Linked DNA regions of Drosophila melanogaster. The protein of the gene in region 1 interacts with the protein of each later gene in a pairwise test. Each region holds a gene or a part of one and is shown in the gene's direction. Other genes may lie near its edges.

What was found. Proteins that work in one complex are often made in the same cells at the same time.
Region 2: the proteins of MCPH1 (region 1) and mthl3 interact in a two-hybrid assay, tested with the Drosophila melanogaster proteins (one large-scale study listed by BioGRID).
Region 3: the proteins of MCPH1 (region 1) and CG15208 interact in a two-hybrid assay, tested with the Drosophila melanogaster proteins (one large-scale study listed by BioGRID).

The regions. Positions count from the first base shown.
Region 1 is NT_033778.4:11,900,913-11,905,696, reverse strand, and holds the start of MCPH1 (microcephalin), read left to right. Parts: upstream 1-1,778; 5' UTR 1,779-1,923; coding exon 1,924-2,116; intron 2,117-2,158; exon of another isoform or gene 2,159-2,233; coding exon of another isoform or gene 2,234-2,285; coding exon 2,286-2,532; intron 2,533-2,856; coding exon 2,857-3,078; intron 3,079-3,146; coding exon 3,147-3,339; intron 3,340-4,302; exon of another isoform or gene 4,303-4,709; coding exon of another isoform or gene 4,710-4,784. Other genes in the region: reb (rebuf), read left to right, coding at 1-302, 419-791, 853-857; Zip48C (Zinc/iron regulated transporter-related protein 48C), read right to left, coding at 4,710-4,784.
Region 2 is NT_033778.4:17,448,005-17,454,388, reverse strand, and holds mthl3 (methuselah-like 3), read left to right. Parts: upstream 1-1,790; 5' UTR 1,791-1,936; exon of another isoform or gene 1,937-2,247; intron 2,248-3,092; exon of another isoform or gene 3,093-3,300; intron 3,301-3,356; 5' UTR 3,357-3,359; coding exon 3,360-3,860; intron 3,861-3,919; coding exon 3,920-4,070; intron 4,071-4,126; coding exon 4,127-4,303; intron 4,304-4,365; coding exon 4,366-4,620; intron 4,621-4,680; coding exon 4,681-4,852; intron 4,853-4,929; coding exon 4,930-5,124; intron 5,125-5,186; coding exon 5,187-5,271; 3' UTR 5,272-5,278; intron 5,279-5,563; 3' UTR 5,564-5,856; downstream 5,857-6,384. Other genes in the region: CG10764 (uncharacterized protein), read right to left, coding at 1-162, 215-360, 448-493, 757-967.
Region 3 is NC_004354.4:10,898,376-10,902,257, forward strand, and holds CG15208 (uncharacterized protein), read left to right. Parts: upstream 1-1,589; 5' UTR 1,590-1,687; intron 1,688-1,754; 5' UTR 1,755-2,153; coding exon 2,154-3,251; 3' UTR 3,252-3,354; downstream 3,355-3,882. Other genes in the region: CG1582 (uncharacterized protein), read right to left, coding at 1-688, 749-816.

The DNA.
Region 1 (4,784 bases):
CGAACAACAATCTTATCAACTCTCCGGTCTGGATACTCGTGGTCAACGTGGTGGCCATGGACATGCTGAGGAGCCGCCTCCAAACGATTCCCAAGTCACTGGATGCGATGGGCATGCGAGTGCCGCTGACGAACAGCAGCGAGGATCCATACTCCACCATCGAAAGCCAAGTGGGATTGATCTATCCTACGCCCGCCGCGTCGGATGATTCCCAGAACTCCCAGCACTCGAGCAACTCCAGCAAGGGACGGCGCAGCATCTTTAGTGCCGCCTTCCTCAACGAGGGTCCATATGTGCCCAAGGTGGGTTCTAACCTAGATTACATTCTACCTGAAAAATTTGGGACTTCAAACCTTTTAACCTGTTTGGGAAAAAAAACTTAGCCTAATAATTCTTATTTGCTTTTTACACTTTGCAGCCCGACTACGAATCTGGCGGATCTTTGACGCCCATATATGCGGACAAGAAGCGACAGAAGAGCAGCGGGTCGCAGCAGCGGAAGAAGCAGGATGATCCGTACTACTGCGGACTCTTGGCGCGTATTCCCAACTTCATCAAGTCCTCGAAGCAGCCGTGCCCTGGAGGAGCCAGCAAGCCCAAGAAGGAGCCAAAGATCTCGCGGAAGATCTCGGCACAGCACCAGCAACAGCAGTTCCTGCAGCCGGCGCAACCCATTCCCATTGCCACATTCCACCACTCGTACTTCCCCTACAAACTGTATCCACCGCAGCACCGTCTCTCCCAGTCGCAAATGTCCCTCTGGGATGCACGTAGTCTGATCAGCGCACATGGTAAGTGACCACTTAATTTGTTAAGTGTATCTCAGTTAATCAGAACATTTCGCCATTTCAGAATGATCACTTTGGCTGGCCCTAATTTATTCATCGTCTAGCGTTAATTCTAAAATTATTTAGTCAAAGCCTACGATTAAGTTTGGTCAGTGAAGGATCATCGATTCACTGGATCACTGTGGAGTGCATTTCGCTCAGTTTTGTGATAAATGCAGCGAAATGCAGCCATTTAGCGTACGTCACTTAATACGCACTAACTCTAATTAACCGCAGTTAACTTTAAGTCAAGCAGAGAGATTTAATGATTATGCAATTTGTAATGAGTAATTAAAATTTTGCCATAGTTTCTTAAATCGTTTAAGACTGAGAGAATGTCCTAGAGCCCACGATAAGCGCACGGAGAGTTTGGCTGAGATTCAGGATGGGGGCAGATAATGTCATATGCAAATTAATTGCTACTTTAGGCAAGTTCAATTTATTATTTTCTTATTATTTTTCTGTACATACACTTCATATGTAAATAAGATCAAATTAAAAACATGTAATCGATATTAGTACGCATTAAAAAAGAGTTATGAAAGTCAATATAAGTGTTTTACTTTAAACGGGTTACAATCTACGCTGCTGAAACTGAATAATAAAGGTATTTTGTATAATTGTGTGTAGTTTGATTTTCATTTACGAGAACATTTAAACATATCTATATCTATATATATTTTCCGACATTTTTGCATTTACTAATTGTGTTTAAATATCGGAACTTAAAATTTATTAAACTGCTTTGCCTCTTTCTAAGATAAACATTGGTGGTGAAAAGTAAACCTGCGCTATCACAAGATTTTTTGTCTCCTAAATTAAATACATAATAAAATGCCGCCAAATTCGTCATCGAACTAAAATCTTAATGTACTAAACGGAGACCATATAAAAACAATCGATTTTCGGTGAGAACGATAACCGATTGCCAGTGAGTGATCTTGTAGCATTGAGGTTACCCGGTCACACTATCACATTGTGTTGCACTTTTTGTGAGGTTTGGATTAGAAAATTATTGGCGCCTCTTTTGCAGAGTTTTGCGACCGACTTCATTGCAATAAGGAGCGCCAGAGTGCGGAGAACATAGCCCGTGACCATGGACAAGTTTCTGTTGCGCAATCCCACGTGGAAGACGAAGACGTACGGATCGGTCGTGGCCAGTTCCGCCGCAGCTGCCAAGAAAACAGCGGCGTCATCGACCCGCCGACCGTTGCACGATTCAAATCTGGGCGACTTCAGGTCCAAAGCAGCGGCACCGTCTCCCAAATCTCTATCCCAGGCCCCGGCAGGTTGGCTGTGCATGCCTATTTTACATTTTGAACACCCAACCCAGTAGTTTTAGTTCCGGATACGTAGCTCACCCAAAATTCGTAGTATTCAAAAAAAAAAAAAAAAAACAGATTACCATGTCGACAAACGAACCGAGCATTACTAACAAGTTGCGTTCCCTCCTGCTAGATGACCAGGCGGCCAGGGATCGGCTGATGCTCAAGCCGGCATTAGCCGTCTCCAAAGCGATCAGCCAGCACCGCTCCGAGTTCCACCAGGACGAGAACGAGGCGGGAGCAGAAGGATCTGCAGCAAAACCAGATCCACCCATCGGAGCAGCCACGCCAACCAGGCAGGAAGGACACTGGGCCCGACTGCAGCAAGATCTCAACAGCCCCAACGCTGCACTCCGATTACGCGCCATTCGTGCATTAAAGTAAGGACAAAAATTGGTTATTGCAATTGTTATTTATACAACCTAAAGGTCAACTAGTGAAAACAGCTCAGATTCTTGACTAATCCATCCTTTTATAGCCATTTTATCGCTAATTTTGTAAAGTTAGATTCTTTAGATGCAATCCCTAATAATTCCATATCCATCAATAACTATTATATTAACAAGCCAGGTTTTTTTGCCAAAACCAAGTATTGATTATTATTATTATTAATTATTGTTTTGCAATGCAATCTAATCTGATTTGAGAAGAAACTGATCATAATAAAAAAAATGCATTCGCTTTTACATTGTATACATTTTTAGAAGCCCCACCAAGTCGGCATACAATACCTTCGATGTGCCTTTAGCCGAACAAAGCATCATCACGATGGAAGAACGCAATCCCCAGGAGCCGCCCTCCCTCCCCGAGTTGCTCAAGGACATAGTCGTATATGTGGAGGTGCGAACTGGAAACGACAATCGCTCTGAGGGCGTAAAATCAATTATTGCCAAGATGGGAGCCCAGGTCAAAGATCGCCTAACGCGGTAAGCTAAGGGATTACAATTGATTGACTAAAATATATTCAATTAAACATTTTTCGTTTGGCTTGTAGAACCACCACACACGTTGTCTTCAAGGATGGCCTGCTCTCCACCTATAAAAAGGCCACCGAGTGGAATATACCAGTCGTTTCCATTCTGTGGATTGAAGCTTGCAAGGTGCAGCTGAAAATATGCGATCCCAAGCAATTTCCAATCAGCAATATACGCATGTACGAGTATCCCGAGCTCTTTGGCAAAATGCCGGTAAGTTATTACTAATTGTGGCTTCTGTTGCATCATCGATCTTATTTATATATTCAAATGGGGATAAATGGGGCTTAAGAAGATAACTTTTAATTGTCACCATTCGGCTTTATAATTTAGCTTGCCTTCTCATAATACTAAGCTCACTGCAAAATACCCAATAACACATTGCAAAAATAGGCTTGTATGTACGTAGATATTAAAAGTTGACTTATCAAGGTCTTCATACAACTTTTAATATTCTTATCATATCATTATTTGTTAGGCCTAACAACTTCCCAAAAGCTTTATCAGATCTAAGACGACAATGTACTTTCGAGTTCATCAACTCTGCATTACATTTTGGTTGGAAATGGCAGCTTTAACTTACACTTCGATTACAAAAGAAATAGGTCTTTAATTAGTCTAATCGTTGACACTATCAATTTATGGCATTGCGGACACAGAAGCATTAACTCCACTTGAGATATGCCCCCAACTAATAGGCCATTCATACCGAGTTTATGGTTTTATGGCGCACATAAAGAACTATATGGAAATTGTACAACAGATAGCCGGCAAGAGGTCTTATCGACCACTTTTCCTGATGACCACGATCACAGTGGGTGGACTGTGGCCCAAAGCACTTGTGCGAGTACAAACATACATATCTGAAATGATTAGTTAATCCAGAAAATGGCGAACAGAAACGCAGGACCGCGGGCCGTCTGAAACTGCACGTATCTCAAACACGGAATACGCGCAATATTGGGAACTCTTCGTGTCGGACAGATTCTTATCACTTATCACTGGCTGACAGCGAGTCAACCAGCTGTTGTTGTTGTTGGCACTCCGGGTTATCTAAGTGAATTTACTTGCCCTTATCAGCTATCGTACGGCCAAAGAAACGGTCAGGAAGTTGTCCGGACGGAGACAGCTACATTTGTGAGGGAAAAAAGCGAGTGGGTGCAACTGAGAGATGTTCATTTGAATTCGTTTAGTTTATTACTTAGACATTAGACGGTTAAAAAAGACACAAGCTACTGGACGCCGGTGACAACTTAAAACCTAATTCACATGCACGTTTGTTTACAAATTTTCCTAGAACAGTTCATTTACATAACTCGCTGGGAATGCTGTACAGATACGTGTGCACAGATACACAATTGCACGGATGTCGTCGCGGCATCGCTGGTTGTCAAGCTTCTTTCTACAAAACTTACACTCTACGCTAGATTATTAGATTCTCGTTTAGGGCTGGTTCTGAGATTTGTACACAGCATGCTTCTATTTACAAGACAGCAGAGTTTTGCGTTAAGTACAGTGGAATCTTTGAGTTTAGCACTAGATTATGAAATCTGCGAGGCGGGCGAAGGCGAGCCGTTCGTTCCTCACGACAGCGCCACCTCCAGACACATCATGATCAGGAAGCCGGATACAGTGCCCCACGTGGCGATCGTTCCATT
Region 2 (6,384 bases), 5.5 Mb from region 1:
GTTTGCACTCATTTCTTTTCAAGTGTAGAAGATAGATGGTTTGCAACATTATGCTCAATTTTCCGTTCCTATTTCCCCAGCCAAGGGCTCTGAACGTTTTCAATTTTTCAACACTCCCTTTGAGAGCCGGATCCAAAAAGATGCAAATTGGTTGAACTCGAACTGCGAAGAAATGCATTGAAATGGGGCTACGGTGGTTAAATTGCATACATACCTGTGTAGACGATACTCTCCGACAGTTGAAGCAGTCCTATATCATTTCGGTATTCCGATGCAATGAAGTCATGGTGCACAAAGACATTAATGACTGTGTGGACAGCAGCGGGCTCATTTATGTTGCGTGCCCCCAACCTCACGTATCTGTATTTCATAAATCCACATATTTATATATTCGTTTTTAAATTAACCGCGTAAGCACGAATTATTGTAACTTCGAACTTCACTTACAGATCATATCCTCTTACCAAGCAATGAGCAGCACTTAACACAAAACCTAGAAAAAAAATATATATTCATTAATATATAGAGAAGGCAAGAACAGTAATCGCGACTACTGTATACCCATTACACAGCTAGGAAACAGAGACAGAAATGCAGATATGCAACATTTAGTCAATGACATTTAAATACCTTAATTCCTACAAATTTCAACGCAACATGATTAGCTAATGACATATGTATGTGTATTATAGGGTAGAAAAATTGTGCATATACTTGTGACTGGTATGGTATACATAAGTTAAAAAAGACACTAACGCATATGTATAATTGTGCCACCGCATTGAAAATCGGATGAATTGAATATCGCTGCCATCCATATAGAATTTGGCTCGGCTGCATCGTCACCACCGCTAATTTTGGGACGGGTTGATATCCCACAAGGAGTCTCTAAAAACTTAAAGTGTTCATTTTCTGTAACACACAAAGTTAACAAAGATAACAAAGCAACCGAGACCAACGACCGCATTTCTCCCTAGGCAATGTACGACTAAATCCATAACATTTCAGAAAGCTTCTTATCAGCTCAAAACGCCTGAATATTAAAAGATCTTTTGAATTTTCTTTTTTATATGATTTTGCACAACTTTTTGGGTTTTCCCTTTTAGTTTAAATTAAAATAACTATTGATAAGAAAAAAAATCAAAGAATGTTTTTTTTTTTTTGGTTTGTGGGCGTTTTAGGATTTGCATTATTGTGCGTTCCTAGAATGTGCATGTTTAATCTCGCACATGGGAATCTCGGATGAAGAATGTACATACATATGTACATACAATGTGTGCTTTATAAGGTCGGAAACATTTTCCTCTATGTGATACGTTCTTTTCGAAGAATCTGGCGTACCCTTTGACCCACGAGTAACTAGTATGTTAATGCCTTTCAATCAGAGAATTAATATTAAAGATTAGAAATGTAACATTGATATTCACTTAGATATGTTCATAGGTAAAGAAAATTGTACATATAAAGACATAAGATATAAGATGTAATAGTTCCTAACAAAACTTTAGTGCTAATCACGCAGACGTATGATATGACTTATTTTGTTTGAAAACCGTTTGTCACTTAACAAAAAACAATATTGGAACTGAGTTCCAAACTGAGTTTAGTTATAGAACTATCAATAAGTTCAGAAACACCTTTTAAAAATAAAAATATTACCTTTTATTTAAAAAAAATAAACTGGTGTGGTGAAACAATTGGAACTAGTATCTTGTCAATTAAATGGCAACTCTATCGTTCGAAGAACTTTATGGAACACACGGACGCAATCTGAATTTGTGAAAATGGAAGACTAGTCTCTTTTTCGACGTGGAACGGATCAGTCGGTAAAAAAGATAACGCGGCTGCGAATATACACACTTGTATATTTTATTTTAAACTTTAAGGTTTATTGGTATTTAAATTTGTCGCGGCAAATCAGTTGCTTGTGTTAAAGGTTACTCTTCTTCAATGTTTTAAACAATAATAATAAGTTTCCAGTGAAAAATATTTAAATAACAAATTCTGTGAATTTAAGAGAGCGTTAAATGTTGCTCTCTTCTAACACATTTAAGAATTCGCACATGTGTGTGTGTCCAGTCACTTCATGGATACATTTGCACAAGGCTGTATTGGGCATTAATGAAACATTTTTAAAGGCAAAAATGTGCATACATATGTATGTGTTTGTATGTTAAACAAACGTACGGATGAATTTTGGCAGTGAAAAATAAAAATGAGAATCTACATACACATACAAACATGTGGGTATGTATAATAGAAAGAAGGTAGAAAGCAGCTTTCACAAGCCGAAGCCAAAATACCCTTGCACTCAATGTATTTAAAAAACTAGAGAAAATGCTATAGTTGTGGAATTCTATTGTCGTAGGCGTGGCAAAAGGTTTTTTGGTAAATCGATAGAAATGTACAAGAGAATGTAATTAATATGAAAAGGTAACAAAAAATTTTGCAAAAGTGTGGGCATGGCAGTTTTGGTCGGTTTGTTGGCGTAAGGGCATTATCGGTATTTTCCTATTTTCAGCTATATGATGCAGTCGCCTAATTTTGATCAAACTATAACTAAAATTGTATATTGTCAGAAACAACGAGCATGAATTTATAGTCAATTTATCTTTTTATTATTTCTTATCTAAAGTTATATGCATATAGAATAAAAACAGATACGAGCTTCCTTAGAAGCGGACGGAAATAATGTCTCGAGATCTGGACCTTCATTAAGACAGACGAACATTAGGACAAGGCCAGGTCTACTCAGCTAGGGATCCTGATCAATGTATATGTATTTACTTTAAAGGGGCGTAAACTTGTATTTTACATGTTACATACTTTCAAGCGAATCTAGTAAACCCTTTTAATTTACAAGTAACGAATATAAAAAGTTGAATGGTAGCGGGAGAAAATTAATTGTATAATATAATATTATCTTTGTTAATCCAGAGTCTTGGCAACTTGTGCACACAATTTTTTTTTTTTTTTTGGAAACTGAATCAGTTAATTGTGCCAAAATTTAGAGTGTAGATTTCTTGGAAATCTCAATGAATTTTATGGTCAAGTTCCAAGAAGTGAAATGCTTAACAAACAACAAAAACAAAACACACAAAAGCAAACAAATTATGCAGAATTATCGGATGTATTTTATATGTATGTATGTACATACATATACAAAGAATAATAAATGGGTGGGTCTGTTGGCTTCTATGGAATTTCCAATTTAAGCTGCAATACATGTACATTTTAACGTCTTTCTGTACGCTCTCAAATAAAAAAACACAATTTTAGGATTAATAAAAAAACAGATATGTACGTCTTCTATTCCCATATGAAGAAAAATATTCATATGATTTTTTGTTTGGCAGGAAATGCGAATAGTTATTGGATCGTTCACCGCATTTCTTTTGCTGTTATTGCAAAACTCAAATGCCGAAATTCCCGGTTGCGACTTCTTCGACACCGTAGATATTTCAAAAGCGCCAAGATTCTCGAACGGATCGTACCTCTACGAAGGCTTGCTGATCCCCGCCCATTTGACAGCTGAATATGACTACAAGCTCCTGGCCGACGATTCGAAGGAGAAGGTGGCGAGCCACGTACGAGGATGTGCCTGCCACCTCAGGCCATGCATTCGGTTTTGTTGCCCCCAGTACCAAAAGATGCAAAAGAGCAAGTGCTACGGCGACATGTCGGAGGACGAGCTGAACAAGCACGATCCCTTCGTGAACGTGACGCTCAGCGACGGGTCGGTGGTCAGGAGACACTTCAAGGAGGATCTGATCGTGCAGTCGGATCTGGCCAAGCCCGGATGTCCCCGGATGTACTTTCTGAATCACGAACTGCCGGGCAATGAATTCACTCTGTTTGAGGTTACTTTCCTGTGTTTCTGTCACTTCTGAAGATCGTAACCTTTTTTGAATCTCTGTAGAACGGCTCTCTTCTGCGTCACTGGGACAAAGTGGAACTGAGCAAGCGGGAGTACTGCGTCCAGCATCTTTCATTTAAGGATGATAGTATCCGAATTGCACCCCACTTCTGTCCACTTTCGTCTGAGCACTCCAGAACGTGGAAGACCGTTGGTAAGCTGAATTCCCTGCTTGACTTTAAGGTTTTTAGTTAATGTCCATTTTCACAGCGATAGTGATATCCTTGATATGCATAATCCTAACGATCAGCGTGTACCTCTATGTTGAGAAGCTTCGCAACCTGCACGGAAAGTGTTTCATCTGCTACTTGGCCTCCTTGTTCCTGGGATATTTCTTCCTGGTCCTCAACGTGTGGAAATACTCCTCCGGCTTCTGCGTTACAGCAGGTTTGCTTGTGGCGATTACAAGATAAAGGACGACCAATTTCACATTTCGATATCATGATCAGGGTTCCTGGGCTACTTCTCCGTCATCGCCGCGTTCTTTTGGCTTTCTGTCATCAGTCTTACCCTCTGGAATTCATTTAGCGGCAACTCCAGCTGGTTGAACCGTTTCTTGCCACAGAATCGGTTCCTTTCTTACAATTTATACGCCTGGGGCATGGCGCTGCTCCTGACTGCAATCACCTATATAGCTGACCAGGTGGTTAAGAACGAGAAGTTGAGACCCCGCGTGGGCGTCGGCAAAAATTGTTGGATCTACAGTAAGTTACTATTCCTATAATAACAATTGCGGTGTAACTCGTTTTTTTTTTAACCAACAGCTGGGGATATGACTGTCATGATCTACTTCTATGGCCCGATGCTACTGATAATTGTTTTCAACATAACAATGTTTGTCCTGACGGCTTTTCGTATAATGAAAGTGAAGAAGGAAGCACAAAACTTTACTCAACAGCAAAAAACAACCAATAGGCTCAATTCGGACAAGCAGACGTAATAATTTTACCATATTTTATACAGTTCTAAATCCAAAAGTTTAAATTTTAAATTATTTTCTATGGCTTTTAAAGTTACGCCCTATTCCTGCGACTCTTTATCATCATGGGCTTGTCCTGGAGCTTGGAAATAATCTCGTTTTTGTTGAGCAAAAATCAGGCTTGGGCCAAGGCTTTTATGGTGGCTGATTACTTCAATTGGTCACAGGGCACCGTCATATTTCTGCTATTTGTTCTGAGGCCCAGCACACTGAAGCTACTGAAGGAACGGTAAGTTATCGGTTCTTCCATAGGAGGTCCAATTAACCTGGTTCTATCATCTGGCTGAGCAGGATTAAGGGTGGGAGGGATGAAGCCGGCGCCAGCGATGAACATATCTCACTTCAGAATACGAAAATTGACCCCAGTGTTTTTTAATATATGGGTAATGTGAAAATACAGTTTATTAGTTCATTTGGTGTTGGAAACCTTCTATTTTGAATCACTAACAGGCAGCCTAATGATCGTGACCAAAGGCTGCTTTGCTTGCTCATTATTGCTCACATATCGTATGCTCATATGGGCTACGAATATTTGCTACTTATCACTTTTCAAGTATCTTGATTTCTGCACGGTGTCTAAGCATATCTAAGTTTTAATTAAATGTTGAATGTAATTGTCCTTTAAGTTATAACTTTTTGCAATAATAATCTATTCCAATCCATCCTAGACGTGCCATCAAAGCGAGATCAAAGCAACTACTACATGGGGATATGTACGAATCTTATAGGCATGAATACTCGGCATTTATATACCCTGGTCTATTATTATGGATGGAGGATAAAAACTCAGGAAAATACTTTTCGCATCAGCACTTATGTATGCTCACTCGTGATAATAATTTCGTAATAATTCGTACTGTTTTTACTGCCTCAACTTAATTCAAAGAACTACAAATGATTATATTATGACTTTTTATGACAATGACTAACTAAAAATAAAAATTTCTGAATATTTATAAACAACTTTAAAATGTTATTAACTTAGGATAATAATAATAACACAGTTTTAATTTATCAAGCACATCGTTAAAAAACAATAAATTACTTGAATATAAATTTAAAAAAAAAATGGAATATTGGTTTACATTAACGGTATGCAAAAAATCATAAAAAGTCATAGAACTGAACGATAGAGAAAATTACAAAAAAACGATCTAGTCGAGTTCCTCGACTATAAGATACTCATTTCTCAGCTAGTTCTTTCATTTAAAAATTTCTCTTTCGTTTCGATAGTAATTGGCAAGAAAAAATAATAAAATACAACAAATTAATGCATTTTTGAAAATTATGGGCGTGACTGATTTGGTCGGTTAGTGGACGTGTCAATATTATGAAGCAAACGTGGACACTACAAACTGAAATATATATATATATATCATTTCATTGCCCTTAAGTCTGAAAAACGGCTTTAAAATTGAGAAGTTACTTTAAGAGATATTCGAGGTATTCGGTGACAGCAGCGCACATTATCGACTGGCCAATGGGAATA
Region 3 (3,882 bases), on another chromosome or scaffold:
GCGACAACGTAGAGGAGGCTTTTTCTTCTTGTCGAGCGCCGCCTGGGCAGCAGCAGCAGCGGCGGCCAGGACCGCCTCCCTGGCCTTTCGCACCTCCGACGGACTGTGGGCCAGCAGATGGTCGATGCGAAACTTTAGGTTCCACACGCGATTCGCCTCGCGCTCCTCGTACGCCTTATCGAAGATGGACTCCAGGGCCTCCTTCTCGTCGGCGCGCATGTCCAGTATTTCTTGCTCGCTGGGTGGCTCGAGAGTCAGTTGCTCCTCATCGGGAATTCTCATATAGCGACGGTAGAGCAGCAGTAGAGCGGCTTCCGTGTCGCCGGAGCAGTGCTCATAAGCTTCAAGGCAGTGGACAGCCTGAAATCCGTAGTTCTCCAGTTTGGCCAAGGCATATCGGCGCAGGCGATCACCATCACTGTCGTTGCCACGCGTTGAGCTCACGCCCTGGACACTCTGCACCACCAGGGTGCCGCGATCCTGCCAGTAGGAGTGCTTCACGCCATGACCTCCGCGTCCACGATCCTTGTACTTGCTGATGTCGTCCAGCTGGAATTCCGGGCCGTGGATTTGGCGCAGCGTGTCCATGGTCATCTGGCGGGATTCATCGTTGAGCCGAAGGACGTGGAGCTCCGTTTTCCGAGACTTGTTGTCAGCCGCCTGCGATTTAGGCGCCGCGGGCACGTTGCTTTTGGTCAGGGATTGGGAATGTAAGAAAAGCTGAATGTAAGTTTAGCGGCGTACTCACGTGGTACGGATGTCGCTGGGACTGCGTAGGAAGCAGTCCTCCATGTGCTTTCTCGAGGATTCGTCCATGGCCACTGGCAATCGTCAACGTAAGTCAGGTAAGTAAATTTCACAACAAACGCTAGGCAGTGTTGTGCAGTCTGGCTTTTAAAATGTAGCTAGGTCACATGTTTAAAATAGCTAATATATAAACTCTCTAATATATAGATAAAATATATTGTATGTCAAGACACTAAAAAACATAAATTCCAAGTAAAAAATAAACGATATTTGTAACCTCAAATATATAACTCTAATATGCAACTTGATGCCGTTGTGAGACGGCTGTCAAAGATGGCATATGGCTACACAATTGCTAAATTGGCACCTCCGATACCAAATGGCGCGAAAGTGTGACCAGCATATGAATCGAGCTCGATATATTATCGGTACCATCAGCTGAAGAAATTTATTGATAAGCCGCGAGATTCAAAGTTACTTTGAATCGTAGCTTGTTAACGCCTAAAATTTGACGTATTCTGTTACAATTAGCCGAAATTTACCGGCCCCAGTGAGTGTAAGAACGTAAGAGCTCCCGAAAGGATCTGGAAAGGGCAAAAATTAATTAAAGATATATAGAGATTGACTTTGAAGTCACACTGAACGAGTTCCTCGATGGGCACCAGCAGAGGAATTTGTATTTCATCCATACATTCCCTTTTTAGTTTGTAAATAAATCTCATCTAGTTTCCTTTTGCGTTCAAATACAAATTTACTACGACTTCGTATTGCGAACGAATATATACATACATATAATAAAGATGGATTGATAAAGAAGTTTTCGTCTTTTGGCAGACTTGTAAGATATAAGCGGGCATCTATTTATAAAAATAAAAAGAACTTAACACGATTCAGTTCGTAGATCTTAACGTACAATAAGCTAAATTTCCTTAAGCGTAGGGTAAGCGTACGGGTTTGTAACTTAGTATTACCAAAAACAATATACTCAATCTTATGTCTTTTTACAGCCCCGCTTGCCAGCAGGCTTCTTGGCCTTCAGTTCGAATGAATGAGAAAATGAGATAAGGTCTTGGCCAAGTAGAGAATCTGAAGTTTACGCCAACTACATATGATTTAAAGAAAAAATTTACTTCTTAGCAAAATAAATTTTTTTTTATGAAAAGTAGCCCCTGCAAAATGTGTAACCCTCATTTGAAAGCGAGGATCTACACACATCAGTCAGTACGCTCCATACTCTGTTCACGAGAACATCGGATACTCGACCCGATTTTGTACAGAACATTTTCATGGAAATTTTTCTAAACATATTTTAACACTTCTTTGTCAAACTCTTCTTTCCTTAAAAATCAAAATTTAATTCTACTCTAAAAGCCCCATATCATTAGAAATTATCATAGCTCGCGGAGATGGAGAAGCAACTAACAGAGCACATGGTGGAAAGCATGTCCAGGTGCAGGGACTATGCCAAGGCCTTGAAGTTGAATTTCTGTAACTGCGGCCTGAATGACATAAGTCTCTGCCTCAAGATGCCGTACCTGGAGGTCCTTTCGCTTAGCATGAACAAGATCACTTCATTGAAAAGCCTGGTGAGATGCACTCGACTGAAGGAGCTGTACTTGCGCCAGAACGAGATAGCAGACTTTGATGAGCTGAAATATCTAGTCAATGCCAAATCCCTCACATCCCTCTGGCTGCTGGACAATCCATGCTCTATTGCCGCTGGCTCCAACTATCGGGCATCTGTGCTACGAATGCTGCCGAATCTAAAGAAGCTGGACAACGTAGATGTTGCCGAAGAGGAGCTGGAATCCGCTTTGCGATACGATTACTACCCGGACGTAGGGAGTGCGATCCTTAATCCTGTTTTGGATTTAAGCAACTGCAGTCCCGATGACATGGCATACCGCGATATGATCGAACAGTGCGATCGGACGATCCGTCAGGTCCAGCAGCAGCAAAGGAAAAGATTCGCTAGCGGGGATGCCAAAAATATTGACGAACTAGCTCGAATTAGAAGTAGATCGGTGTTGGTGAATGGTGAACGCTTGCCTCTGTTCTTTCCGTCCGATTTGCGTCAGGTGCGTCAGGCTCAAAAAGCTCAGGATGCGCTTCGGAAGCAAAAGAATCAGCCGATTTGGCATAATGAGCAGGTTCAGCAGGCTCATAAGTTTACGATGACTCCGCAGGCTGTGCACGAACAGGTTCAGGGTATTCAGTCAATTTCATCGGATCGGAACGCCGACAGCCCTGCCGCTTCTACCTCGACTTTAGCCGAAAATCTTATCGAGCTGATCAATTCGCGACGCCAAGATGTGGTGACCCCACCCGGACATCTGTTGCCCAATGTATCCTCTGGGTTAGCATTGAATGGCGCTAATTCCACAACTTTGGAGCGGCATAATAACAGTTTGTCGGCGGCTTTGTTACTCATCCAAGATATGAACGCATCCCAACTGGAGACTCTAGTCCTCGCCATCATCGAACAGTTCGTCCAACTTAATTAATTTTCAAAATTAATTTTTGTAACGTGATCTTAAAACCCTAATGATTATTGATTAATGCTCCACAATATATCCATTATATGAAATATATATTTAAAATATATCCAAATAAACATTGTACATACATATATGTATGTAAATAATAAAATGCGATTGCCATGTATTTATGGCAGCTATTCGCATTTTGCAAATTAATCTCCTACATTCGGAAATTCTGATTCAAATGGTGATAGGTATATGTACCTCATTCTTCTTTGATTGATTAATTTCAATATTTAAAGTAGGAAGTCCGTGGAATGCGCTCGACATTTGGCTCGGTAATTACTGTCGCCAGCTGAGCTCGTGGCGTCTTTGGCCAGATGAGTTTCGGTTTGCAGCTACCAGGAAATTTCAGGCCGTGATCATGATAGCGATCATGATGGCCATCAGGTAAACACACCAACTTTTCCGGCTTACAACAAAGGGCGACTCTTGTTTAGTCGTAAATAGAGTTACATGCCACTTCGGAATGGCAAAACTGAGGTTTGTTTCTTGGTTTCTTAGCTTCTTTGTTTGTTTTTTGTCACCGACACCAGGAGACATGTGAGCCCTGGAAATGATAGGGAAACAGACGCCACTCCTCCTCCAGCTGCCC